Tamandua tetradactyla: one gene and its partners. The protein of the gene in region 2 interacts with the protein of the main gene of each other region in a pairwise test. Links are inferred from orthologs where the notes say so. Each region holds a gene or a part of one and is shown on either strand. Other genes may lie near its edges.

Region 1 (6,695 bases), on a different chromosome or scaffold from region 2:
TAAACTAACAATGCCAGGCACTAAGAACTGTATACATTTTATCTCATTTAGCAGTCCAGGAATTGCTATTACCAGGTTTTTATAGTGGTGAGTAAGCAGCTTTCCTGAGACAGGCTGAGAGCAGCGAGTGAAGCTGGGAGCTGATCCCAGGCAGTCTCTGTGCACCTGGAATTATAATGAAGCTATAATGCTTCTCATCACAGCCCATTTAGCACAGCCTGGAGCCGAGACCTTGTACATTTCCCCCAGCTGTGTTTTTCTCACTGCGTTTTTCCCTGTGAATATGCCATATGTTGGCTGCTTTTTCAGCTAAATAGACTATGGTGACTCTCCTTGGGGCCTAACTTGCCTTCAGGATATTCTTTGTAGGGCAAATAAGCTTTAGATTCCGTGGTGGACTTGAACATCCCATGTGCGACTTCCCCACTCATGTCTGAAGAAGAGTCTCCTCCTGAAGGCAGTGATGCACAGGGGGTCTTCCCAGGTGGACGCGCCCTCCTTGGGGATGGCCGGAACGGATGCCTCACTTCTGGCAACTTCCAGGTGAGCCTGGTTCCTCTGCTCCTCCCTCGATGTCCATCCCGTTCCCACACCTCACCCTGGACCACGGGCGTCTCCTCTGGGGCCACAGGTGGGGAGAGAAGACATGACAAGGTTTCTCCTGTCCTCCCAGAGGGCCTGTCAGTGTAGGGTCAGTTCTGCTGGTGAGTTCTCCCGCTGGGTCCGGCTGAGGTTAAGGAGAGACACCCAACTGCCCACACCCCCTGCGTCAGACCTACTTAAACACATTGCTGAGATATCAAGCATTCTCGGTCCAGGTTATGACACCATCTAAGAATGAAAAGTCAAATTAGATGGTTGGCTTGGGCCTCGGTTTTTTTTTTTTTTTTTTTTTTTTTTTATCTCTATCCTTATTCTAAAAAGGACCATCTAATTTCCATGTTGGGATTCCTTCTCATCGTTCACCCTCATTTCCTATGCCAAAGACAGAAGAGACCTTCTCTCCATGTGAGGGGTGTAGAACCTCCTGGCCTAGCTCAGGGAAACAGGGAGCACAGCAGAGCTGCCTGTGAAATTGATAGCTGCTGGGTGCAATCCACAAAGCTCCCTCACTGCCTAGAGCCTGCAATGCTCAGGACATCTTCCTGAGGATTAATCCGTGAGATGCTTTCTGAGGGAGGAATTGGATCCCTGCAATGTGAGGGAAAAGTAGTCACCCAAGTCCCTTGTGAAAGATGATGTTTGCTGCTCGCACGTGATTTGGGCCTCCTGATGCCAGCTCAGGGCTCACTCTGTATAAAAGGCTGAGACGACCAGCAGCACCTCAGTCCACTTGCCTCCCGCGACACCTGCTCCAGCACCTGAGCAGGTAAAGCACATTTCAGGCACCACGACGGACTCCCGGTGATGGTGTCTGGCTCAGGGAGAAGCCCTGGGTGGAGAATGAGGCTAGCCTTGAAGAAAGGCAAAGAACAAAAGGGATGACAGAAGCTAGGTGAAGGGGAAAATGGTTGGTGTCTTTTTGAAGTTGCAGGGAATTCATTTAAAAAATATGGAGTTCCTCGGTTGAAGCCATTTGTAAAGAAAATTCTTGTAACTGATTTGGGGACATTTCAGTTTTGAGGTTGAAATCATATTTCAATTTTGCATATGGAAGTAAGTCACCTTTAGCTAGTTGAACTTTAAAACTTCTGATTTGTCTTTCAGTTTTGTTCAACTTCCACTGAGATGTCCTGCCAGCAGAGTCAGCAGCAGTGCCAGCCCCCTCCCAAGTGCCAAACTCCTAAATGCCCCCCAAAATGCCCTCCTAAGTGCCCCCCCAAAGCTCCAGTCTCCTCCTGCTGCAGTGTCAGCTCTGGGGGCTGCTGTGGTCCCAGCTCGGGGGGCTGCTGTGGCCCCAGCTCGGGGGGCTGCTGTGGCTCCAGCTCTGGCGGTGGGGGCTGCTGTGCCTCCAGCTCTGGCGGTGGGGGCTGCTGTGCCTCCAGCTCTGGCGGTGGGGGCTGCTGCCTGAGCCACCACCGGCCCCGCCGATCTCTTCGACGCCGGCACCAGAGCTCCAGCTGCTGTGGCAGTGGTCAGCAGTCAGGGGGCTCTGGCTGCTGCCCCGGGTCTGGGGGCTGCTGCTGACCTGGACCGTGAGAACATAATGGACCAGACTCGGACGAACCGAAGTGCCAAGGGTCTGCCCCAGCCTGAGGCGTCTCTTCTCCCCTTTCCCCACAGAAGGACTTCTGAAAGGCCTTGAGTTTCCCTCTTCCTCCTGCATGTGTTCATTCCGCTATTATGTCCAGAGGTTTAACCCCTGATATTCACTGGCCCGATATCCCCTCTCAGACACAGTTCTGTTGAGCAGTTGGTGTTGGAGTTGAGTTATGAAGCTATTTTCTCTGTAACAATAAAGCTTTTATTCCTGATGCCACTGCCTCTTGATTATATTTTGTTTGCCTCTCCCACTCCCCATTCCTTGCCTCAGGCCATCTTTCTTCTACTCTAAAGGGCAAGTGAACACTTAAATAATGTGCTTGGGAAGCAGAGCAGGGCATTTAAATACTTAGCCTCCTGGGAAATGATATTTCCTTTGTGCTCTGAATGTGGAGCTTTAAGCTTGAAGGAAGAAGCACATCTGAGACCACTAGGCTTGGCACAGGCAGCCCACGAAGAGACTCGGGGAGGATGGCGGTACCAGAAAGGTCACAGGCTGAGAAGAAATCATCAGCAACAGTGTCCTTCAGGCCATGGGCCATCGCTTAAAAGAACTCTTTATCTCTAATCGCAGGGAATAAGATAATCTGAAGTGCTCCAGCTGGGCTGCAGTGAATGGGCACCATTTACTTTTCTGATTAGTATCATCTCAGGGGCTGCCTTCAGCTGGCCGAAGAGGAGACTCGGGGAGGTTCTGGGGAGTGAGTTTCGGAGGCAAGTATGAAATGCCTCTACGCATTTTCGCTGCATCTGGAGATCCTGGGTTTGGATTTGAGTAGAGAGCCAAGAAGGCAACCCCTCTGCCGAGACAAAGGCTGCCTCCTTCTAGTTGGCACGTGTGTGAGTGTGTGGGTGTGGGTGTGTTTGTGTGTGAGTGTGGTGTGTTTGTGTGTGAGTGTGTGGCTGTGTGTGTGTGAGTGTGGTGTGTTTGTGTGTGAGTGTATGTGTGTGGCTGTGCGTTTGTGTGTGGGTGTGGGTGGTGTGTGAGTGTGTGTGTGTGTGTGAGTAGAGGGTGAATGTGGAAGTGGGGGGCTTTGGTTATTGTGTTGGGTTTTACAGGTTAACATTTCTTTAGCAATGGGCTGATTCCTTCAGGAGATACTCAGAACGTTTTTGAGAAGAAAGAGAGCTCCAAACCAGTCTTCTAAATACAAGGTGAACACTTAGTCCCTTCTTTGATAAGAGTCCACACTGATAAGTAAAGTGAGTTACTATATGAGGCCATAATAAATCCAAATAATGGACATGTAATTGCCCAAGTATCTCCTCATATCAATGTTTATCAAACCTTCATATTTCACTCCTTTTTTCTCTAACCTTGCATAGTTCCATAGAGGTGATCCTGCCTCCATTTTTGTTACTTCATTACTTCCTCTTCTTTTTTAATATTGACTGCACCTATTGCAATATCTCACCTCTACTCACCAATAACTGTCCCTAGGTAAACATAACCTACTCATAAAGCTCTAAAGCCATGTTAAATGAAATTGTTATCTTTTGTGATTTAGCTTTTCTTGTCCTTTCACCCAAAATCTCTCTCAGACTATTGAATCTTGAATTCTTCATCCTGAACTTCTCTCATATCTCACATTCATGGTTGAGTCTCTTTTAAAAAGATAATTACTAAAAGCACCACTTGTCATGGATGCTGGGCCTTTGAAAATGACTTCTTTTTCTTTACTTTTCTCCTCCTACTCCCTCTTCTTCCTTCTTTTTCTCCTCTTCCTTCTCCTGTCCCTGTCTCTTTCCCTCTCTTTTTTCTTATAGGGAAGTGGCCCCAGGGAGACCTTATCTCCAAAGGGAGATAAGGAGAGGGATGGATGGTGACCAGCCGAGTTCCATGGGCTAGCTTGGGCCTCTGCAATTGGGCCAACATCAGCACACAGTTTTATCCCAGGGATATGGCAAACTACGTTCACAACCTTTTTTTTTTTTGCTAGGATTTTTCTTCCTCCCGTCTCCAGGGGCAGGAAGAAATCCCCACTGGGGTTTCCATAGCACATCACCTCCACCATCTTTCTCAACTCTGTCTGCAAGCATCCCAGCCGGTGGCCTACCCTGAGGAGCCCAGGACTCAGAACCAGAGAGATGGGAACCAAAGGTGGCAAGCCAGTCAACTGCCAACAACCAAGTAGATGCTTGCACACAGGGATGGGTGGGCAGTCAAGGGCACTGTGTGTTTGTGCTAGCATGCGGGCTTGCCGGTAACCTGGAAAGGGGCAGGGAGAATGGGCCTGCAGACCTCTCCTGGTCCCCATGCCTTCGCGTAGTAGGCACACAGCCCTTCAGCCACCAGTGGTGCCCTGTTTGGAAAGCAAACATACCACAAGCAATCCTGGCACCTCTGTGCTCTGACTTGGAGGCTCACGTGTACAACTTAAGGGAGCTACCTGCGTGATGAATCTCTGACCTGTGTCAGCTGAGCGTGTCTATTGAGAAATAGGTCCCTCCCAAATTGCCTCATGATGATGTATAAAAGGTACCCCGGCTGGACACTGCTCAGTCCACTGCCTAGGAGGCGACCTTTTCCAGCTGAGGAGCTGAGTGAGCCTTCCCACTGTGCCAGGGTCTGGTGAGTTTCCAGGTCGGGTTTGGGAGAGGAGTTGGGAAGGGTCGAAAGCGGAGGGGAGGAGAAGGCAGCAGGGTACAGATGTGGACAGAGAGTCCTGGGAGGTGCCTTCAGCCTCAAGCAAGCCAACCTCTCAGGGAACCCCGGCGGACAGGGGCCCCGGACTGGGCTGGGCGTGTGTGTGACTTTGCAAGTCTGGAGTGGAGTGTAGCTAGGGGCCGGGTCTCGCTCTCAGCACAGGAATATTCCCTACTCGGCACCACTCTGCTTGTCCTTGTGGTTGTGGGGTGGCAGGGATGGGAGAGAAAGGATAACCACAACCGTTTCTGGTGTGTGTGAATCTTTAGGCCCCGGCTGCAGGGATGCACAGGTGATTCAGTGTTTTCTAACTGATGGCATTTATACTTTACTAATGATTGTGAGGATATAGCTTGACGGTCTGTGAAACGTGGCACAGGGAAAGGGCCAAAAGAAGATTCTGGAGTGGATCCTACAGATAAATTGCCACAATATCCTCTTTAATTTCCACTGTGGAGAAAGATGATCTCTGTTCAAGTTAGAGGAGACGGGAAGCCATTGATTCATTGCCTAGTTCCTCCTCTACCCAGATTTAAATCACTGGAAACATGTTTGGGATGCGTTTGCGTCCCTTTCTATCTTTCTCGGCTTCCCTCCCTGGGTCCTCTTTCTTTCTCAGGCCAGGCTTGCTTGCGCATTGAGCCGGACTCTGCAAAGGCCCGCGAGGTCTGCCCCTGTCTGAAACGCGGCCTTTCTTCCAGGTCGGCCGTCCGCGATGTCCTCCCAGCAGAGCGCAGCTGCCGCCAAAGGCTTCTCCAAGGGGGCTTCCCAGGGCCCCGCCGCGTGCCCCGCCCCGGTGCCCGCCGCCCCCTCCTCCAGCTGCTGCGGCTGCTGCCCGAGCTCCAGCTGCTGCGGGGACTCAGGCTGCTGCGGGGACGCCCCCACCGGCTGCTGCTGCTTCCCGCGGAGGCGCCGCCGGCAGCGCGGGCGCGGCTGCTGCTGCTGCGGGGGCAGCCAGCGGTCCCAGAGCTCCGGGTGCTGCGCCAGCGGCTGCTGACAGCCGGCCGGGCAGAGCTGGAGCCGCCCTGCACCTGCCGCTCCCACCAGCCGCTCCCACCTGCTGCTCCCACCTGCTGCTCCCACCAGTAACCACGGCCCCGCGGGGCCGAGCATCGGACTGTGCCCGCCAAGATTAACGGCACTTTGCGGCTCAAACACGCGCCTTGTTCTCAGCCTTGATGCCATGGAGACCTGACAGTGGTGGGTAGTTCACAGACCGCTACTACCTTTCCGGGTTTGCACACAGCAGGTGCTCCATAAATGCTTACTGATTTCATTGTCCTTTGAAGACGTGTCATAATAAAGCTTCTACCTCCAAACAACACCTCCATTAGAATTTATTCCTTCGTGTGTGTCTCGATTTATCTTGCTCTGTTGTCCTATACAGTACCTCTCATTGGCTCTGATGGAAAGGCTTGGAATATCTGTGAAAGGCAGAAAACTGAAATTCGTGACTGAACAAGAACGTGGCTCTCTGGTAGTCAATTATGATAGCAGCCATCACGTATGGAACCAGCGTCCTACGGCTGTTACGTGACAGGCATTATCGCATTTAATTCCTATAATGACTCAGTGAGTGGGCGCTGCTCTTTCCATTTTATAGATGAGAAACTGAGGATAAAGAACTTGCTCAAAGCCACCCAGTTGATGCCTGATGGAGAGACTGGATGCCTGACTCCAGAGCTAATTATGCTCCCAACTGCACTGCTTGGTCCCCCCTAAAGTTTCCAGAGTCCCTGACGAAGGCATCCGTCCTCCTGCCCCCACTCCACACAGCTGCCTGGGAAAGGTCTGTGTTTCCTACTCTTGTGGACGTTGGAATCAGGAGAACTGAGAAATGGGGTCC
Region 2 (7,091 bases):
TCAGCCTTAGCCCTGACCTCACCTTATCAAAGGCTGTATGCCTGACAATAAATATTATTTTTATTCTTATTGTCTTTCTCCTAAACCTGTCCTCTCCCCAACCTCACCTTTCACAAATAAAGACACACAAGCCAGAGGAAACTCTTCAATTTATTTCCCACAGCATCAGCCCCTGCCCTCCCTCCCCTAGATGTAGGTCCCACCTCCTCCCAGCACCTTCACAAAACACTGATTTCTTCCCAGAGCTAAAATGAACACCCCAGTCACCATCTATGGCCACCCTCCACCCTGCTCCTTCCTCCCCATTTGCCTGTATATCCACCTGCTCTGTCAACTTGGCCACCTTTTTCCACCCACCCCACCACCACCATGTGACTCCCCAAGGCCGCGCGGCTTGCATTTTTGCTCACATCAAATGGGTCCCACTCTTAAAAGTCCTCATAGTAACTCTGCAGTGCTGCCTGGGCCTGCCCCTGTCCTGTTCCAACACCCTATCACCCTCGCCAAGAACCACGTGCAATTAATCCCAGCTCTGCAATTCAAGAGACCAGCTTTCTAAGCTCAGCTCTGCTGCTCGGTTCCCTGTGGGCCTAGGTTTCTCGGTTCTTACTCAAGGAGTGAAGATAATTAAGGCCAAACAGTGCAGGATTCTGAGACAAGGCTCCCAGCAGAGAGGTGGTAGGGGCAGGGAAGGCAGGCGGAAGGCGGAGGGAGGCCCCCCTACCCTGAGGCCCCCCTGGCACCCCCCAGGCCCCCCCCCCCAGCTCTAGCTGCGGCGGGCCCTCTGGCTCCGAGCCTTGTATACCTCGATGAGCAGATCTTTCACATACTGGATCTCCCGCTCCACCGACTCCGCCCTCTCCCTCAGCTCCCGGTTCCGGGCCTCCAGCCCCTGGCACTCGCCCTCTAGGGCCTCGCCCTCTGCCCGCTTCCGCTGGCGGTACCTCAGAGCTGCTGACTTGTTCTGGTCTCTCTTCTTTTGCTTGCGGTCCCCTCGGGCGGTGGCAGGGTTGGGGTAGGGAGCAGGGCGAGAGGGCGGAGGGGGTGGGGGCTGCTGGGGTGGGGGCAGGGATGTCAAGCCCACCTCACCCTGCCCGGCCTCACTGCGGCAGTAGATGGCCAGCAAGTCGAGGGTATCCAGGGCAGGGGGCTGGGGAAGGTCAAAGGGGGGGAGGGGGAGAGGGAGGGAAGGGGCTGGTGGCAGCGGGGGTGGGGGTGGGGGTGGGGGTGGGGATGGGGGAGGGAGGAGTGGGGCATCAAGGAAGAAGTCCTCCATCTGTTCTAGCTCCTTCTTGAGGAGAGTGGCCATGGCTTCCAGGTCAGGTGGGGGCGGGGAAGGTGGGGCAAGGGTGCCTGGGGGGAGGGGGGGCTCCAGAGGGAGGAGGGCTGTAAAGTCAACCCGTTCAGTCATCCAGTCTGAGAAGCCGTCACCTAGGGGATTAGAGGGGGGACATAAAAATTCGCTGAGTTCCTGGGCCTCCATTCAATTGGTGCTCACTCATCTCTGCCTCATTCAGGCCCCATTCATCAGTAAAACGGCTAACCACTCAACAAACCAATCAATGAATCCTCAAACCAGTCAGTAAACCAACAAACCTGCCAAGGAACCAATGAACCAAGCAACCAACTAATCAACCAAGCAGTGAACCAGTCACCCCTTCCAACCAACCAAGCAACCAACTAATCAACCAAGCAGTGAACCAGTCAACCCTTCCAACCAACCAAGCAACCAACTAATCAACCAAGCAGTGAACCAGTCAACCCTTCCAACCAACCAAGCAACCAACTAATCAACCAAGCAGTGAACCAGTCAACCCTTCCAACCAACCAACCAACCAACCAGTCAACCAACCAACCAAGGAACAAGTCAGCCAATTCATCAACCACCTAAGGAAACAATCAACTTATCCATCAAAGAGCCATTCAGCCATCCACCCAACTACCCAACCAGTCAACCATCCAACCAACTAGTGGACCAAGCATTTCTTCAACCATTCCAACATCTTCTTTATTGATTACATCTGTGGTTTTTCTGATTCACTCTCTCTCTAGCTTGTTCTTCAAATACAAAGTGAAATGCATCACACACGCACCTTATTTCATCTTTAGTTCATTAATTATTGAAAACCCACTATGTGCCAAGTGTTTGGGATACAGTAATGCATAAAATAACTGCTGCCTCAAGGACTCTGCATACTCTCTTTCTTCCACCTGAAATGCTCTTCCCTTGGGCTTTTCATGGTTCATTCCTTCCCATCCTTTAGGCCTCAGCCTAAATATTATCTACTTGGAGAAGCCTTCCTGGCTAAACTAGGTCCCCTTTGTCATGTTCTAGCTTAGCTGCTAAGGGCCCACTTAGCCGTCTCACCATGGGTGCCCCAAACCCCACCCCATTTAACTTGTCTCTTGTCTGTCTCCACTAGAATGTGAGCTCCAGAAAGGCAGGGATCACGCCAGTCTTTCTTCCCAGCTGTATACTCAGCACCTAAAACAGTGCCTGGCACATTGTAGGTACTCAATAAATATTTACTGAATGAATGAGTGAATGAATGAATGAGTTCTTCCTTCCCCTTTGTCCCCCACCTCCCCATCTCACCCTACCTCCACTCTTCATCTATCCTTACCTGTCAGGGGCTCTCCCCCCCCTGGAATCCCGCCCTCCAGGGCTCCCCCAAGGACCTCATAGGGGCCCAGGGGGGCAGGGGCCAGGGGGAGTTTCCCATAGTCTACGAGCCAGCCCAGCCCGCTAGCTGGGAGCAGGGCCCTGTCCAGCTCCAGACCCAGGGTCGCCAGGAGTGACATGGCTGCAGCACAGGCGCCGGGCACCAATGGCAAGGGAGGTTGCAGCACCAACTGCTGGGAGGAGGCTCAAGAGGATGCTCGGATGGGCGGAGACAGGCAGCAAGGCCAAAGTAGAGGATCTGCAGGTGGGAAGCAAAAGGGGTGGGGTCAGAGGCCAGCTCCACCCACTGGGCAAAGGCACAGGACCGCCCCTAAGCTACACCCCCATTGCCACGGAGACCCTCCTCTCAGAATTCCAAACCTGCTCTTTTTTCCCAACAATCTTAGAGCCCCACCTACTCCCAAGGGAATTGTCCTTGGGCCCAGCCTACTTTTCTCCCAAGCTCCACCCCTTCTTCTAATAGAGAATGTAGTGTCCTCCCAGCGGAATTTCCTTACACCTTTCCCATTCACCCCATGATACTCCTCTTTAATAAAAAAAAAAAAAAATCCAATCCCAGGGGAATTTCCTTCCAGCCACACCCTGTCCCTAAATTATTTCCTTTAGATCCCACCCCCTCTCGAAATCCATTCCTTCTAAAATCAGTTCCCAGGGGAATTCTCCCATGCTTTGCCTCTTCATCAGTGTTCTCCACTGAATTATCACCGTCATTACTTTAAACTGTGCGGTGACTCCCACGATGCCCCCAAAGTCCTGCTCCTCTCCATCTACTTTAGTTCCACCCCTCCCTGACAATTCTCTGTGGATCCCGCCTCATCTCACAATAGGCTTCACAAGCCCCGCCCCTCGCTACTGCTGTGGCCCTAGCCCCACCCCCTCTCCTAGAGGGTGGCCTCTAAACCCCGCCCCCACACCGTCAATCTATGCCAGGCCCAGCAGGTGCTTGGAGAGGGAAGCTGGGCAGTGCGCCCGCGCAAGGTGGAAGGGACACGTTGAAGGAGGGAGCAGAGAACGGCTCCCTACCCCATACCCCTCCGCACGCGCCTGCCTCCTCGAGAGCTAAAGCGCGTGATCGCTCCCTCAAGCCTCCGCCCTACGCGAATACTGGCTCTGGTGGGCATGAGCGGCCGCGCACGGACAGGATCGTTTCCGAAAAAAATAAAACCCACCCTTTCTGAGGGCTAGTGCGCAGGCGCCTCGGCCCACGGGCCAGACTCAGGCACAAACACCCTCGCGGGAAGGGCCCTTCCCCACCCCGGACCGAGTGCGCATGCTCGGCCGCGCGCCGCCGACCGCGGCCTCTCCCTCCTGCGCCTGCGCGACCTAGAGTCCACGCTCCCGGCTCCCCACCCCCCGGCCCCGGTGAGAAGGCCGCGCGCTGTGAAAGGGCGGGAAGGGCGGTTGGAGAGGGAGGGGCGAGCGGTTACTCACTCCATGGCGGCGGCAAGGAGAGGCGGCGGTAGCCTCGGCTGAAGAAAGAAGCGGGAGCGGAAGGCGCAGGCGCGGTGAGCGCGGAGATGACCGGGGGGCAGGGAGGATTCGCGGCTACAGGGCCATGGCCGGGACTGCGCGGGTGGTGGCGTCGCGCTGGCGTGAAGGGAGACCGTGATCCGAGGATAGGGAATGAGGCGGCCCCGGGGACCCGGGACAGATATAGCGGGGGTGGCGCAGCACGGCTCTGCCGGATCCTTCCGCGCTCCGCCCCTGCGGGCCCCGACGGGCCCTGGCAGGGAGGCGGGCCCGGCCCCCTCGTCTCTGTGACCCGGAGTTTGGGCCCTTTTCTCCTCTCACTCTGGGGCCCAGTCTTCTCCCTGACTCGGGTGCCTGGCGCCCTCCTCTCACTAACCCTGCGGTGCTGTGGTCCTCTCTTCCGTCTGACCCGGGATTCCGACCCCTTCCCTCCTCTGACTCTAGGGATTCTGACCCGGGAGCACAGACCCCTTTCTCCTCCTTCCTTTGACCCCAGGGTCTGGGGCCCGACCCCATCCCCCTCAGCTTCCCTCAGGCCTTCACGTGTCTCTCGCCTTCCCCTGCTTCACGAAAGAACTTCCGGCCAGCCGCACCGGAGTCTCTGCCCGTGCCTCCGTGAGGATCCTTGTGGGTTACTTCTGCGGGACCCCGGGGTCAGACGGTGCTCTTTTCGAATCACCTGCCTGGTGATCTTGAGCAAATAAGGTCTGTGGACCTCTTGTCGCTATCTATAAAATGAGAATTATACCCTCTATTTGGTGGGGTTGTTTGAGAATTAAAATGACAGTGTCCATGAAGCACAGCCCAGCTTGTACTCATCTGGTAACCCTGTCTTCTTATTAATAGGAACGTTGGGACTCAGTATCACGTTGTCTTCCCCTCCTGGCAGAGCCCCAGATACTTGACCAAGATTTGCTGGTAGGTTCCTCTTATGTAATTTCCAGCTATCACCACCCTCCCCCATTCCAAAGGGTGGGTGTTCAGCCCACCCCCGTGCAGGGATTTTGGCATTGTTACCCCCACTTCATCCTTTTTCCACCCTCTGTTCACCTCTGCCCACCTGCCAACATCCACAGTCCCTCAGTCCTTGTCCTCTATACTCTGACTCCACCGCGTGTGTTATTCTCTGCTTCTGCCTCTCACCCAAACTTTGTTTCAAATTGTCCTTTGCCTAAGCTGCCACTCACTGTGTGAGGAACTCAACCCTGCCAAAAAATGGGGAGATTTATGATTCCATTTAGTGAAAGAAAGCAGCCTCCTAACTATTCTTCCCCCACCCCCATACATTGGACCCTCCACCAGCCCTGGTTGGATGTAGATCTTTCCTCTGCTGCAGAAACCCTCTTTCCCACCTTGCATCCATCCACATCAGAATGTTTCACTTGGAGTTCAGCCCTCATCCCTTCTATTTGTGGGTACATGGGTTAGGAATCGAACCAGGTCTTCTGCATGGCAGGCAAACAGACATTCTACCACTGAACCACACCTGCACCCCCAACCCTCATCCCACCTGGGACAGTGAAGACACTGAATCGAGGCCCAAAAAATGTGTGGGAACTTTGATTTTGAGAGTGTCTGGGAGTTAAGAAATCCCCTCTCTTCCTTCATTGTTACATGTGGGAAGTCCTTCTTGGATCTGACCCCTTACCCTCTTGGTGTCCATCCACTGGGCCAGTACTGAGCACTTGCCCCATAGCTGGGCCCTTTGGAGCTACATTATGACCTAGACAGGGTACGGTAGTGGTTATCAGCACAGGCTCTGACACCAGGTGATCTGGGTGCACAGCTGGCTGTGCTCCACTCACTAGCTGTGTGACCTGGGCAGTTACACTTATTTCCCTGTGCCTCTGTTTACTCTGTGCCCAGTAATAGTACCCATCTCTTAGGGCTGTCATGAGGATTAAGTAAGTTAGTCCATGTCAAACATTTGGACTTGTGCCTGGCTGCTGGTTGGCACTGTTAGGGGTGGTGGTTAGGATTGTTGAAGCTCCAGTTGCAGGAGTTAAAGTTTCAAAACTAGCCCTTCACCAGTTTCTGGAGGCTTAAGGACAAACTTCCACTTCTCACTATAACTCAGTGACAGCAGGTGGTAGGGGTTAATGCTAGACAGTTGGACTCACTGCGGTCAGTGAGGAGGTGCCGCCCAGACCACCAGATTGATGAGGCTGCCACCCTTACTGGGAAACCTGCTGCTGCTGGCAGGATCTGGCTCCTAGACACTAGTTTCACTCTTCTCCTGCCATCTGGCCCCTTCCCTAGCAGAATCTGTTTCCTCCCTCTGTCCCTTTCCTACAGTAACCTCCCAGAATTGTCTTCTGAGTAGGGTCATAGATTATTTTTTAGATAAACTTTTTACTTTAGAATAATTTTAAGATTTACAGAAAAATTGCAAAGATAGAAAATGTTCTCATGTACTCTTGAACAGTCCTGGCCTTTGGGTATTTTAGGGAATGTCCCTCAGTATGAGTTTGTCTCATGGTTAAACTGACATTGTGGGGTTTTGAGCAGGTGGCCAGGGAGGGTATCTTTACTAACTGAAAAGAAACTAGCTCGGTTTGGGAATCATATTGCTGATTGTATGTGATGTACTGTCTGAAAAGTCATCTTCTTGGTCCTAGCCCCCATGCCCTTTTCACTCTGGCTGTTGGAGCCTACCTAATTCAGCCCTGGCACAGACTGGCCCACCTAGGCAGCATCACTGGGTTTTGCCAAGTGGGTGCTGGGTGCTCTGGGCTGCCCAGGCCTGCCAATAGATTCTAGTTCACAGGCAGTCATCTGCAGCTGGCACCCTGTGCCTTGTCCCATATCCATGCCTGACCCAGGTTCTGGCCTCTCCAGGACTCAAATGCCTCAGCCTCCCCCAGTCTCCCACAGCCTTTCAGGGTGCAGGTGCCCCAGCTCCTTCAACTCCTGAGATTGGAGTTGGAAGCATGGGTGG
Region 3 (7,091 bases), on a different chromosome or scaffold from region 2:
AAGAGAATGGAACCAACCTTTGTATAGCAGCTACTATGCATAGCAGAGCCAAACTGGGCAATTTTACATGCATTGTGTCACTTAACCCCCATTAAAGCCCTGTGAGAGGCATTACTACAATCTCCTTTTTACCAACTGGGATAAAATAGGCTCAGAGACTTGAAATAACTTGTCCAAGGTCTTCTGACTAGTAAGTGGATCACCTGATTTGAGTATAGTTTGCAAAGCTATACTCTTTGTGCTGCACCATGGTACACTGACAAATGTGCTTAAGGCACGAGGAGGTGCTACTTTTAGTTTCAGCCCAAAAACACAACTAATATAAAGTCTTTGTTTTTGTTACATGAACAGATATCACAGCAAATCACAAGCCTGCATAAAATAAACTCAAGAACGAAAACTGGAATACGCAGATGTGGCAAGGCCAAGATCTGCACCGCCCTATTTGGAAGTTACTTGTCATTATGCTCTACTATAAGGGCAGTTACAGGAGGAACTAGAGGCTGTGGGATTACAATGATGTGGGAAGGAGGTATGCAAATATTGGAAAAATAAATTTTTAAAGCCCAAGATAAAGAGGATAAGGCCAAAGACCCTTAGCTCACTATCACTTACAAGGTCGCATACTGTGTGGACACTTTCTAAGCTCCATACCAACCTAGGTGAACTAAAGATATAAGTCAGGCAGGCAACTGCACAGCATCCACTGCCAGCATACCTTCACTCTGACCCCTCCTCCCCATTAGTAAAACTGTGCACGATCAAGGGCTTCATATCCATTCCAAGCCTTCCCTTCCTACTAAAACAGGTGATCCTCATGTAACAGTAAGGTCAAAGTGAGCTGGCTCATCAAAAGGCCCAGAACTAGAAGTTTGAAGAAATTATTTCAATGTAGGCAGGGAAACAGTCAGCCTAGCACCCAGAATCACACTGTATTTGCTGAATGAATAAAAGACTGAATAAACTGCAGCATATTTATTTATAAAAAGGAAAATTGTTAACTGCCTTCTAACCTCTGGTTGGTTCCTTTGACAATGAGATGCAATGATAAGTGGAAGAAGATAACCAAAGAATATCACTGTTTCATAACATAAAAATATCAATGCCAGAGGGAAAATTATCATTAACCTTACACTCCATAAGATTAAATGAGTAATCTAGGTTAATAATCTTCATATCACAGAGAGATTTCACATCTAGTGTTGCATTTGATCCAGAGGCTACTTTGAAAGCTTCTGAATAGTAACTCACTTTATCATTTGTTCTGAGCCTCTGTTTCCTCATCAGTAAAATGAAATGTGCTCTATCTCTTCTGTTTCTTCCTCCAAATTCATCCACCCTCTCCTCTGCCCTGCCCTGTGCTGACCACATTAACAGATTCCCTAGCCCTCTAATAATCAGGTGAGTTTGCCCAGCAGGAAGCACCCAGCAGACTTTCACAGGGAGGAGAGAGAGAGACAAGGGAGAAGGAGGCCAGGGTATTTCTTCCCCTACCCCAACTCCTGCCGGGAAACTGAGGCTGCATCTCTTGACCAAAGGTCTCAAATCCTCTCAGGTTCCCTCTCTACCCATCTCTTCTACATGTCACTCCCCTTGCCCCTTCAAGTCTAAAGGTGGAAACAAAGTCCTCCTATTATTAAATGGTACTAAACTTTGCTCCTGATTTCCCGGTCCACACTTTTATAAATGCAACCGTCCCTTTATCAACCTTTCCTCAAATTATCCTAACTTGAGTGTACCATCTATTTCCTGCTGAGACTTGATTTATACAGGAGATAATACCACCTACACCTCCCAAGACTCTTCAGAAATTAGCAATCTGGTTGACATTGGCTGCCAGGCACTCGGCTATCATAACTGTCATGGCAATGCTAAGATACAGAAATTGCCACTCCCTATTTACAATTCAGGAAGCAAAGACTCAGAGAATTTAAGAAAATCGCCCAAATGATAGCCGGAACTGGCGCCTTTAGCCTTGAGAGCCAAAACTTCTACCTTCCCATTTCTGTTGTCATGATTACCGTGAATATTTTTCCTACTACATCATATTTCATTAATGCTGTCCTTCCTACAGGAAAATTATTCTCTCTTACAAATGAGATTTATTGTTGCTGTTGAACGCAATTTAACTGTGTGGTTAAGAATGAGAGTTCTGGTGTTGGTTCAGCGTTCAAAGCCTGACTGGCCACCTGTAGGACATGAAATCTTGAGCAAGAGACTTCCCTCCACAAGCCTCAGTTTCCTCCAGTTAAAACGAGAATACACTATTTCCTTCACTGGGTCGTTGTTAGGATTTAATGGAATACGCTTAGAAAGCGCCCCACACGCAGGTAATGCTCAAACGATGGCGCTACGGTGACTGAAAAAGAGTTACTGCGGCCTTGGGGGCATTACTGCTGCGGACGGGAGAGGTACCCGAGCAAGCGCAGTCGGACGAGGGGCGAGCCCGGACCCGGGTACCTGAGGGAAAGAGCCCGCTGCCCACCCCCGAGCACACCTGCTCCTCCAGCCGCTCGATTTCCAGCTGGTTCTTCTCCTCCTCTTCGTCGTACTCCCACTCGTACTCCCCGGGGGAGCTCTCGGCTGAGGAAGCCATGGCGTATTCCTCGTCTCCATCGCTCTCACTCACGCCTTCCTCCTGCTGATCCCACTCTGGCCCCATGGTCTTGTATGTCGCAGCGGCCACAGCCCGAGATAACACCTTCCTCCTCGTCCTCGTCGCCTTAGCCTCATCCTCCTCTCCCTCAGCCTCGGGCCCAGCCTTGAGCTCAGCCTCCGATTCTGAAGCCGAGGTTGCAGCCGCCGTCGCCATTTTGTGCCTCGGATAATTCTCGGGTCTTCGCTCCGCCGCCGAAGACCGACGGAAGTAGAAGCTGCCCGCGGCGTGCGCCTGACCAAAACCCTGCTCTCTCGCGATCGAAAGGAAAGCTGTGAGCCTCGAGTGACAGAAAAATCTCGAGATACGCTCAATTAATACTATTTTTATGTACTTATAAAAGCTCCCATCACAGAAAAGTCTCATTAATATAACATGACTTTCGTTACAACTTCGGACAGAAGTTGGATGTTTGGACAGGAAGTGGGGGGGGAGCAATGAGGTTGTGGCGCCATCTTGAGAAGGTCAAAGTAATTCTTGGAACGGAGACCTTACTAAAAGTAAGGTCTGATATGGCTCGTTGTTTAGTCTCCCCAGCAACCGAGCCCCAAACGCGGAGAAAACTCCACGTCCTCCGGGAAGGATAGACTGCGCTACTCGTGAGAAAAATGCATTGCCCGAAACGATTCTTCCCCTTTACGTAATGCGAATACTCCTGAGTCTAGTTTTAAAAAATCATATTCTGCACATCTAAAATATTAATTAAAATAAAAGTTAATACCAAGCATTAATTGAGAAACTCAGTTGCCTGGGATTACCATATACATTTTGTTGTTTGCGGTTATTTTCTATATGGAGACTATATATTATATATATGTATACATGCTTTTTTTTAATCAGGGCATGGTGTTCGTTTCTCTAATTAAACTTCCCATTTTTGAGGTAGTAAAGTATTGACGTGTTTCCTTGTTTATTGTCTTGAGCAAACATGTTTTGCTTTTCGTTGCATTCCCAAAGCCTGGTATGGAGACTTAACGTACGTAGTCAACACGTATGTGCTGAGTGGATGAAAAAATTCCCCTTAAATCAGAACAGATGACCAAATCATAAAGACCTGATATCATTCGCTTAGAGTCACAGAGACAGGAAGACGCAGAACCAGAATTCTAACCCAGGACTGTCTTTGCTGGAATCCCAACTGTATACCTAACTCTTTGAGCGAGTTACTAAACCTCTCTGAACCTCAACTTGTTTGGCTGCAAAATAGGTTAGGAAAAGTGGATCGGGTGATCTGTGCATTCCAGCGGTGAGCTTAGCCAGCTCAAGCTTGGGCACAGCGTTCAAACCTTAAACCCGTTCCTGCATCCAGAACCCAACACGAAAAACAAGATCTTATAGTAACTTCAGACCTTCCCGCGCCCCGCCCCGCCCCTTGGGGGGGCGTGGCCAAGGTAGAGCCAAAGAACAGACTGGGCGGATTGGAAGTGCGCAAGCGCGAAGATGCCGGGACGTAAAGCGACGCGTCCTTGGATCCGAAGTCCCGAGTCAAGTAGGCGGCGCGCTTCGCAGCTTCAGACTCGGTGTGGGCTTGCGTTAGGGGCGTCCCCGCAACATGGCGGCGGCCGGAGCTGGCCGTCTACGACGGGCTACGTCGGCCTTGCTACTGCAGAGCAAGCGCCTGCCCGCCCGGGAGCTGTCCGCCCCGGCCCGGCTTTATCACAAGAAGGTAGGAACGAGTAAAGGGGTGCACAGGGCCCGCACCGGCCGGGGAGTGTAAGTGTGAGGAACGGAGAGGGGACGGTGGGGGGGTCGTCCCCTCTCCCGTCTTCTGTCTCGACTAACTTTTCCTCGCTGCGCAGTAACACTAACCGCAATACAAACCAAAATAATAACGCTTACAATAGCGGCTACTTCCTGTGGGCCTCGCAGCTGACTGCTGTTTAGTGCGCCTTTAAACTTCCCAGCAGCCCGGGTGGGCTACACCCCACCGCTAGGGATCCACTTTAGCCAGACCACTGCCCTAGCTAAGTGACCTTGGGCGAGTCACTGCCCCTCGCTGAACCTCAGTTTCCACACTCATAAGATAGAGGTCTTAGCAGTCCCCTCTTACAAGAGATGATGCTTGTGACGTGCTCGGTGTGGTGTCTGGCTCTTAGGCTCAACATATAAAAACTATTAATGCTGCTGTTGTAGTAAAATTATCTCAGGTAGGCCTTATGGAAGTACTGGTTTCTGCCTTTTTGGAGCACACAGCCTCCTGTTGGAGTCAGACGTGTCACCAATAATCATGTTTTTGTTTTTGTTACGTTTTGGGTTTGGGGCCGGGGGCTGCGAAGTTTGCAGCCCTGCCTTCTGGGAGTTTAAGGTATCTTAGAGATGAGACTTTCACTTGGGATTGGGATAAAAAAGCAAAGATTGCTGGCATTCAACATATGGCAATATCCAAATTAGATATTATTTTGTGGGTCCTTGGGCTTAATGTTAAAATCCGTGGAAGGATAGAAGAGGGAAGAAAACAAGAAGATCAAGACACTTAACCGTTATTTAAGCCTTCTGTTTGCCAGTTTGAATGGACATTTAGTCTGGTTTCTGCATATTTGCCCACAGCTCAGGATTATCACACCGCACACACACCAGTGTTTTTTGACAGTACACTCAGTGAATTTAAAGCTAAAAGCTTTTCAGCCACCAGGGTGCACTGTTTAACCAGCCTGATTTCAGAGTGTCTACAAGTCACGTGGAAACTTCTGGAAAGGACTTCAATTTCTGAAACATAGTTACTTTAGAATTTTCTAATTGTAATCATTATCCTTTAAGAGTGGATTTTATTTTGAAATAACAAAAATGCTGCTTGAACCTAAATTGATGACTTGGATGGGTACAAGTTGAAGTAATCATTTGTGATTAAAAACCTTAATGGAGAGTGGGTTACCGTGGCTCAACAGGCAGAGTTCTCACCTGCCATGCTGGAGACCTGGGTTTGATTCCCAGTGCCTACCCATGCCAAAACAAACAAAATCTTAATGAAACCAAGACATGATTTAGGTGATTTTTCTCCAGTATCTCAAACAGAATCTGAAGATAGGAGTGGAAATACGAAAAGACTTTGGGTCATGAATAAAGCCTTGTTGACATGAGTGTAGACTGGTATTTTTACAGGTTGACTGCCAGGTTGCAGGCCTTGTGCCAGTCTTTGAGGGAACACGGATTAGTAAGATTCAATTCCCTACCTCCTGGAACTTAAATTCATGTCGAGGAGACCAGTATCAAGAGTGATCCCCAGGGATGAGCCTGGCCCTAGCACCATGGGATCAACAGTGCCATCCTGACCAAAAGGGGGGAAAGAATTGTAACAAATAAGGTATCAGTGGCTCAGAGAGTTCAAATAGAGTCAAGAGACTACTCTGGAGTCTACTCTTACCCAAGCCACAGCTAGATATTGCTATTTATTATAGTTTGCCAATCCCCAACCAAACCATTCCTGCCCACCCTAAAGAACACCTAAAGCATTATATAAGATTCTACAAAGGTACCATGTACTATGATTACTTTCCAGAAACCTACAACCTCCAGATGGGTTCCTAGGCCAGATGATCCTGAAAGCAGAGGGGCCAGCCTCTCCAGATCATCAACTAATTCCATCCCCCAACCCACATTATTTACAGCCCTTTCCAACATGAAAAAGTCAGAATATGCATAGCTCAAATACCCCTAAAGATTGGGAGAAAGATCAAAGGAGAATGTGGAATTATAACAGAGAAGATAGGACTTACTAAGTGAGCCAGACTGCTGAATCACTATACTGATATTTCTTTTAGTCTCCAATGCCTTAGAGCAGCTAAAAGGAAAAACTTAAAACTGTGGAACTTCAACCCATACCAAACTCTAAAATCTATTCTATAACTAATTGTTGCAGTGTGCTTTGAAATTTATTGCTTTTTTGTATATATGTTACTTTTCACAATTAAAAGAAAGAACAAGGGATTAGTTACATAAAGTATGTCATAATCAAAAAGAAAAAGAGTGATAATGATTCTCTTAACCCTCTCATTTCAGGTTGTTGATCATTATGAAAATCCTAGAAATGTGGGGTCCCTTGACAAGACATCTAAAAATGTTGGTACTGGCTTAGTGGGGGCTCCAGCTTGCGGTGATGTAATGAAATTACAGGTATGGCTGGTTTTCATCCTTAAAGGTAATAACGTAATCCCTTTGTTTTTACAGTGCTTTGCAGTTTAAAAATCATCTGCACACACAGCGTTTCATTTGGTCTCCATTTTTATTCCTGCGAGATGGCACAAGTTGATGTTATAAATGATTAGAGCAGAGACTGAATCTTAGTTCCTCTGTTTGTATGTCTGACCTTTTCTGAAATAGTAAACCAAACTCACCTTTGTACTCTTAATTTCAGCTGCAGCTATGTAAAAAGTTTTTTGAATTTTACTCATCAAAGGAAAACCACAACTATTTGGTTAGCAAGCCCCAATCCAATAGG
Region 4 (7,990 bases), on a different chromosome or scaffold from region 2:
TTTATTACAAAAACAATTAACCTTTTTTTTTTTTTAAACTGGGAGCTGAACCCAGGTCTCTGGCATGGCAGGAGAGAACTCTGCCACTGCACCACCATCGCCCGTCCTAACCATATTTCTTTTTTAAAAAGCAAACATTAAGTTAATTATGGGTAATAAGAATAAATATTTTCTATTTTGACCATTTTTAAATTGATAACAGGAAATTTAACTCTACATTTTATAGCATCTTGGTGATTTTTTTGCCCACATTTTTTGACTCTTAATTGATTAATCTGAGTCTTAACCCTTCAGAGTTTGATGGCTTCCCAAAATCCTCCAAAAAGCTTAGGAACATATTGAATAGAGTAGTCAATAATCATTAAACTGAAACCACTCACTTAGACAAGTTCTGGGCCTTCTCGATAAATTTCATCACCTAAAAGAAAAAGACGTAATAACAGGATCAGATTTCAAGATGCAGGGTGCCACACCTCACAGGATACCATGAGCTACTTGAATCTCACTTCTCAGTAAAAGTTGCTCTGAAGAAACACATCCCCATCAGCAGCACTGAAACAACACCCTGGGACATGGTGCAAGGACTTGAAAAGCTCAAGACTTCATCTGTCACTGTCAAGTGATAGTCTTTGGCATTTTGGTACATGTCATCATGGAGTAATATAAGGGTAACAATTTAATAATTAGAAAATATTCCTGGGCAGAGCACCAGTGGCACAGTGGCAGAATTCTCGCCTGCTGTGCCAGAGACCGGGGTTCAATTCCTGGAGCCTGACCATGCCAAAAAAGAAAAAATTCCTATGGAAGTAGGTGACAGAGTAACTCTAAAGGATGAAAAATACTTGATGCTAGTGAAAAGCCCCATTATTCTTCCATTCTGTGCCTGTTAAGCCATCCCACTCCCCTCTTCCTCCATCCACAATTAGGATAATACAACAAATGAGGAACAGATTAAAAAGTGAACCCAGATTTTTTGTTATTTTTGTTCTACTGGCTGTCACATAATACTGACGAAAACACATAATACTCCCATAAACTTATTTGCCTAATAAAATGCCCACATATTATCTACAGTTATACTCAGGTTTATGTTTCTTCTTTCCCACTATGCTCAAATGAAGTCATTTAAGAGTCACAAGTTTTTGCAAAGCCATGTCCATATGAACAGACACATACCTGATCAAACCTGGTAGCAAAGAGATTGAGTGAGGTCACAATGCCACCATTGGGCCCAAGTCCATACCTACACACTAGGTTAAGGATTCAAATTGTTTACATATCAATTTAGATTATAAAGTCCATACTCAAGTTATCAGTCACAAAAACAATATTATGGCATTAGTGTGCCATTAATGGATATTCGCAATACAATCCAATAACTAGTTATGTACCATACAATCTTAACCTCACAGGGAATCATTCACTATCATGGTCCTTTGTTCATTTATCACCTTTAGTGTTGGCCAAGCAAAATGAAAATACCAAAGTGACAAAAATGCAATGGACAGAAGCACCAGGCAGTGACAGCCTGTTAGCATTAGCCACTACGGTGGCAGTTTGGAGCTGTCATGTATTTCAGAAAAGGCCATGTTCTGTTCATCCATTCCTGTAGGTGCAGTCCTACTGTGGGCAGGACTTTTTGATTAGATTATTCCAGATGAGGTCTGCCCTAGGGTGGGTCTTAATCCTTTTACTGGAGTTCTTTTTTGAGAGAATAAAAGAGGGAAAAGTCAGGAAAGCTAATAGAAGGAATTCAGAGAAGCACACAGAAAAAGACACAGAAGCTGAGGAAGGAAACCAAAAGTTGAAGGCAACAAAACTCTACATCGAAGGACCTGGGCACCATGTGCCTTCTTATGTGACAGAGGTGTACTGGATACTGGCAGCTGGCCTTCCGTGTCCCGGTGTTATCCTGTTGATGTCTTGAGCTGGACATTTTCACAGCCTAAGAATTGTAAATTGTAAGTTAATAAATCCCAAGTGTAAAGGCCAACCTATTTCTGGTATATTACATTCCAACAGCTTTAGCAAACCAAAACAATCATCTTTATAACATTTCTTACTCTGATTCTGACTAATCAAGCAACTTGCTGGTTACAATTAGTCTTCTTACCTAGAATAACCCACAGGGAGAGAGAACATTTCATACAGCAATGTACTAAGAGTGAATCCTACCAAGCCTACTGATTTCTGAATTTCCCAGTCAGGAGAAGTGGTGATCAAATGGGGTGTACCTTCTAGTGCAATGCTACCTGGTAGGATCCAGGGCAGGCAGTCAGCTAGTCTCTCATTTTCACTGCTCTCTCATTACAATGGCGAGCAATCTGGGAAGATGGTAAGAAAACTGAAATCACAAGCTAAAATTATTATCTTGATCATCTATAATACTTCTCCCACACCCATCTACTATCTCCTCCTAATAAAATCACTTTAAAACAATCTAATGATTTTGCGCCTGTGTTTCAGAAGGAAAGGTAAAAATATTCTTTACAAAGTCATAAAATATACAGAAAATAATGGATCTGGGACAAGTCAACATCAAAGCAGACATAGAAAAGGATACTGTTTCATGACTTCTTTATACTTCACAGTGTCACGAATATCTGGAGGGAAAATTAACTGAAATTTAACACGTAAGAAAAATATAGTTTGAGACCCTCCTATAATATCCTAAACTGACAGTCAGAAAAAGTCATCTCTGCTTCCTCTGAGGAAAAATTAAGTATCTGAGTTACTTTTCATATCATTTATGTAAACTGTTAAATAAGAACACTGAATTGAGATAAGAAAAGAAGCAGGACCATGAGGAAAAAGAACAGAAGCGCAAAAGGTACCCTGGCAGCAACTTTCGTACCAGTAAGAAACTGAAACTAGATTTCTAGGCTTTTTTTGTTGGCTTTCTCCAATTTCTTCACCCTCACATTGGTTTCCTTCCATACAAAGGATAACTGCCACGTAATCTATAAATAATGTTAGTAAAGGAGCTCTCAAACTGCATGGTAGAGATGAGACAAGGTAAAAAATTTTGTATGACTTAAATATCATATTAGTGGCCATAGGCACAGAAAAAGAGTGCTAGATCAAGGGGAAAAAAAACAGATGATTTCCTTCTAATTATCTACTAGTGACAAAGACAACGAAGACATGATTTTTTAATAAGATTTAATATGTCCAGTAATATCTAATTAAACCCATCCAGCAGTCTATAGACTTCCCCTATCAACTATTAGAACTTCATCCTTAAAATGAGATGGGCAGTTTTTTTCACTCTTCCCAGAATTATCTTGCTTCTTAATCCAGTATTCCTTTCATTAATATGTGTGGAGTACACAAAGCTTACTCAGGATTAAGAAGAGATAAGGAGGAATAGGATTTGCACACAGCAATGGCCTAGAAATCAAAGTCTAGATCCTATCAAGAATCAGGACACAGGACTAAATTCATTCTTAACCTTTTTTGGAATCACAGACTCTTCTTAGAATCACAGGAAAATTAAGAAACTCTTCCCAGAGCTTTATACATATATATATATACACATACACACACACACACACATTTAGGGGAGTGGGAGCAAGATTCCTATAGATCAGCAAGTGAACTGAAGCATAAGAACACTTACGTTCTAACTAAACTTTGAGACACTAAATAGAAAATATTTATGCATCAGAATCTGCTGAAAGGTTTATAGTCTAGAAGTGAAAAGACTGACTTTACATCACTTCATTTTCCCAAATTAAAATAGCCTGGCACACTAGAGTCAGAAAGAGAAGTGATAAAGGTGAGTGGGAAGGAGGTAAAGAAATGCAGGAAAGGCAAAAAATAAACAACAACAAAAAAACATGAATAAAGAAGAAGCCTGGACAGGAACTCCAGTGACTCCAAGGGAAATGAAAGTAGATAGTTAAGAGAAGATAAAAAATGAAGGCACTGAAGAAAGCAAGGCTCAGGCTTTCCAGTCCCTTTAAGGCATTTCACACAAGTTCTTCCATGGTTCACTCACCAATATTGGCAGGAAAAGGGACTTCATGCACCGCTGGGTCCAGGTTGATCACATAAGGTGGAGAGCCTTGGCTATGCAGATGTCCTGTGAGCCTCTGCAGACATGGGGAGGGGAGGTGGAAGAAGATATAAGGGGATGAGAAAAATTCCAGTCATTTATCGACCATGCCTAAAGGCATTTTTGCACTTTCATTTCCGTCTACATGAAACATCCGCCCAGATGCTCACCTCCAACATTCAGCTCGCAGTCCAAATGCTGTCTTTTTCTATCCATACAAGAGCCTCCCGTGCTCTCTAGCACTTGTTCTCTGTGTACGGGAGTGGGTTTTTCTGACTCCCCCACCAAAATATAAAAACATTAGTTCCATGAAAGCAGGAACTTCGTCAACCTCATTTTCACCGTATCCCCAGTTCCTGGAACAAGGTAGTGGGCAATAAATAATTCCTGAACAAATCTCCGAGAACCTGTTAATCGCTAGAGCTGCCAGTAAAATCCCTACCTACGAGAACTTCACAATTTTATCGGGAATAACTTGGTAAGTTGTACCAAGTATGTATTGAGCATTGAGGGTATACAAAAGAGAGCCTTAACTGACCGAGGCTAAATTCCGATAAGACTTCGTGGAGCAAGTCACTTAGGCTGAGAAGTCCCCCAAAGCCACGCGTCGCTACCTCCAACTCCCCAGAAAACTCCCTTTCTCCCTGAGACTTTGGCCCGCCACGGACAACCTCTCGCATACATGTTACTACACCCGCGCCGTATACTTACCTGTACAAAGGTGGTTTTCCCAGATCCTGCCATTCCCAACACTAACAGACAGACTGGAGGATGCGGGCCACCTGACGCCTGAGCCTCAGCTGCAGCTGCGGGGGCCGCCATTTTCCTACTAGCTCCGCCTGCCCGACGATAGAGACGATGAGAGGCTAGAGAGACTTGCGCGACGCTCTGGGCTGCGAATGGACGTAAAGCCGACTGGGCCCGGAAGAGAAGGGCATGCAGGGGCGGGACCGGCTGGGGCGCCAACTGGTGACAGTGGGGAAGTGGGGCCGCTAGGAGACCAAAAGGCGTGCCGCAGGGGCCAGGAAAAGGTGGAAAGCCTGGTTCCCAGGAGGGCGAGAGGAGACGGGAGCCCGAGGGCAGGGCTCCCGCAGTAGGAAAATGAGGAGAGTGGGTTTCACTTTCGGCCCCCAAGAAGCCGAGAGCAGAGCTGCGAGAGGACTGGCTGCCAGGGCTTCTTCGGTAACCGCAGAGGTTAAACAACTCACGGTGGCACGGAGCCAGATTGGGGCGGGAAGCGACTATAGGAGTTGCTGGGCATCGCCGAGACACACCGAGCACAAAACAGAGAAACTGCGAAAACTTTCTGCATTTGGATGCCGTCCCGGCTTGTCGCAGGCCCCTGACACTAGCGCCCGCCTCTCGGCTATCGCCTTCAGTAAACTACACAATTACCATCACCCTGGGGATGAACGCGTGTATTCCTGGCACGAGTGAGTTCAGAGGGGGCTCGGGAAAGGTGACGCAAGAGCCGAGAAAAATTATTCCTACTCAGACCTTACCCAAGCCAGTTTCGGTGGCTCTCAAAGTGTTCAGTGAGTTCCGGGTTCCACACCCAGGCTTTGCCACTTGCTGGGCAAATAATCTGAACCTGTTTTCTCATCTTTAAAATTAATAACCTCCCAGGGTTGTAATGATCCAGTATTGTAAACCGAAAAATACTGTACCTCATCTTTACACGTAGTCGTATTCCCCTTGCTTTCCAGTGTCCAGAACACAAAGCGGTGCTCAAAATTACTTTCTTGTATGAATTAAAGTACAAATGTGCGTTTAAAAAAAATTATTTCCTAAATGTCCATTAAGAATTGATGGGGGATTGTCTCACTTGTTCCTCCTTCAGGTTTGCTGAAAGTCCCAGAAGGCCTTCTTCAAGACCTTATCTTGGTTTAAAAAATGGTTTTTCCAAAGAAGAGAATCTAATAAAGGCTGAGATGATACTTAAAGAGAAGACAGTGGTGGAAGTAAAGGAGTTGAAGGAGCAAATAAAACAAGCTCAAATCCAGCAGGAACAGCTCCTGGCAGACAACAGGCATCTATACACTGAAAAGACACTTGTCCAGGCTGAAAACAAATTCTTTCTGGAATACCTGACCAACAAAACTGAGGAATATAAAAGGCAACCTAAGAAGCTGTGGAACAACTTTTTACAAAAAAGTGGGGAGATTGAAAGACATAGGCAAGAATCAGCCTCCAAATACGCAAAACAGATTTCAGTACTTAAAGCAGAGCTCTTGCAGAAAGAAAAGATCCAATTCAATTTGAAGCAGCAGTTGGAAGCAATGAGGGGCATTTCTATAACAAAGGAAAAACAGGAGGCAGAAGTGCAGACATTACAGAATGCAAAAAAGAAAGCCGAAACCAAGGCAACTGCAAAGATAGAGGAAACAAAGACCCAGTTGCTCCAAGAAAAAGCATTACTGGAGAAACAATTGAGCGAGCCAGACGTAAGGCAGTTGGGAAAGAAAAATAAAAGGGAGGTTAAGAGGAAAAACCAGGCCTTGGAGTGGACCACAAAGCAGTATACTCTTGAATTTTACCGTGGCATTAACAGAGAGAGCCAACAGTTACAGAAGAAAATACTGCAGCTCCTTCAGCAATGCCAGGAGTTGGAGGCTTCTCAAAGCCAGTTAAAATACAGGAAGCAGCAGCTGCAGCAAGAACAGTGGTATCTGGAATGTTTAATTCGGGGGCGACAACGAATGCAAAGAAGGCATAATTGGTGCCTACAAGGACAGGATGCTCCAAAGATTAACCAAAATATTTCCTAAACTAACACTGCTTAAGTAAGCGCTAAAGCAAGTTCTCTCAGGTGTTAAACTAACCAGGTTGGGAAGGTTTGGGAATCCATTGCTATGGTTAAATACCTTTCATGGTGTGCTGGGATGAAAAGATAGGGTGCTTATTTTCAGCGGTCCTCCATGATGTTTGTGTGACCAGCATCCCTTAACTCCCTCTTCATTTAATTAACTCTTGCTAGTAAACAGGGTGTTCCACAAACCTCCACGTTAACTAAAATACCTGACCCTAACTTAACACTAACCACTTACCAAACACCCATACTTCAAACTAACTCAAGAAAGCCAACTTGAAGAGGTTAGACGAAAACAGATGTGTGATTCATTTCATTTTGCTAACTTAAGAGTTCTTTCTAGAACTAGCACCTTTAAGGCCAGAGCAAGCACCTTTAAGGATAGCTTTCTGCTTTGTAAATAATTTATATCGATGTATCCTCATTCCTTTTGGCATTCTCAGCAACGTCAAAAGTGCATTATCAATTCTTATTAAAATTTTTGCCAGTGACGAGGTAGATCTTCTATAGTTTTCTCATTAAGTGCAAAGTATTCTGACAACAGCAAGTCCAATAAGTGCTTGGCAGAATAACCTTTGGTTTGATGCTAAGCCCTTACAATTTTAGCTTTGAATAAACTGAGAAGTTGAAGGGGCCATAAAATAGGTTAGTTACTCTTTTAAAAATGTTTTCTGCGAAGAAACACTTGGAGCATCAGAAACACTTGGAGCATCAGAAACACTTGGAGCATCAGTGGGGTTAATGAATGCCTCTGCTTGTTTCAGGAAAACATATCAAAAGTTTAAAAATATTTGGACAATTTTTTAAGGAGGCTTGTGTCATCCGTTGTCATCCTATTTCCCTAGCAGCATTCTAAATTCCAAGATGACAGGTAGAAGTACTTAAGGATAATAAATATTTTAGTTTTAAGTCATTTATTCTATTTTTGTACTACACATCACTTTATAATCAATGTATGCCATATATTTATGTCCTATGTTTAGAATTGGTGATACTACTTTTAGGTTTTTAGAGTGGTTGTATTTTTTTTTTGCATCTATGACACTAATGGTTAGACCAGTGATTTATTTCAATGTTGAGTCCTAGTTCAGTAATAAAATCCCATATTTTAACACTGCTCCTCT

What was found.
Region 1: the proteins of NUP62 (region 2) and CRCT1 interact in binary tests that used the Homo sapiens proteins (3 or more experiments, as listed by UniProt). The two-hybrid records come from large-scale screens. The link is inferred for Tamandua tetradactyla from reciprocal best matches to the Homo sapiens genes NUP62 and CRCT1.
Region 3: the proteins of NUP62 (region 2) and ISCU interact in binary tests that used the Homo sapiens proteins (3 or more experiments, as listed by UniProt). The two-hybrid records come from large-scale screens. The link is inferred for Tamandua tetradactyla from reciprocal best matches to the Homo sapiens genes NUP62 and ISCU.
Region 4: the proteins of NUP62 (region 2) and CCDC121 interact in binary tests that used the Homo sapiens proteins (3 or more experiments, as listed by UniProt). The two-hybrid records come from large-scale screens. The link is inferred for Tamandua tetradactyla from reciprocal best matches to the Homo sapiens genes NUP62 and CCDC121.

What each region holds. Positions count from the first base shown.
Region 1 is NC_135330.1:2,671,506-2,678,200, reverse strand, and holds CRCT1 (cysteine-rich C-terminal protein 1), read left to right. Parts: upstream 1-4,711; 5' UTR 4,712-4,774; intron 4,775-5,550; 5' UTR 5,551-5,564; coding exon 5,565-5,846; 3' UTR 5,847-6,173; downstream 6,174-6,695. Other genes in the region: late cornified envelope protein 1E-like, read left to right, coding at 430-543, 1,708-2,127.
Region 2 is NC_135342.1:11,235,519-11,242,609, forward strand, and holds the start of NUP62 (nuclear pore glycoprotein p62), read left to right. Parts: upstream 1-4,086; 5' UTR 4,087-4,188; exon of another isoform or gene 4,189-4,375; intron 4,376-4,999; exon of another isoform or gene 5,000-5,071; intron 5,072-7,091. Other genes in the region: ATF5 (cyclic AMP-dependent transcription factor ATF-5), read right to left, coding at 767-1,431, 2,625-2,802. UniProt on the Homo sapiens protein: Essential component of the nuclear pore complex. The N-terminal is probably involved in nucleocytoplasmic transport.
Region 3 is NC_135331.1:22,830,546-22,837,636, reverse strand, and holds the start of ISCU (iron-sulfur cluster assembly enzyme ISCU), read left to right. Parts: upstream 1-4,085; 5' UTR 4,086-4,208; coding exon 4,209-4,322; intron 4,323-6,652; coding exon 6,653-6,766; intron 6,767-7,091. Other genes in the region: SART3 (spliceosome associated factor 3, U4/U6 recycling protein), read right to left, coding at 2,498-2,812.
Region 4 is NC_135329.1:11,550,332-11,558,321, reverse strand, and holds the start of CCDC121 (coiled-coil domain-containing protein 121), read left to right. Parts: upstream 1-4,973; 5' UTR 4,974-5,158; coding exon 5,159-5,490; exon of another isoform or gene 5,491-5,897; coding exon 5,898-6,825; 3' UTR 6,826-7,990. Other genes in the region: GPN1 (GPN-loop GTPase 1), read right to left, coding at 381-418, 1,177-1,243, 2,564-2,603, 4,001-4,094, 4,769-4,879.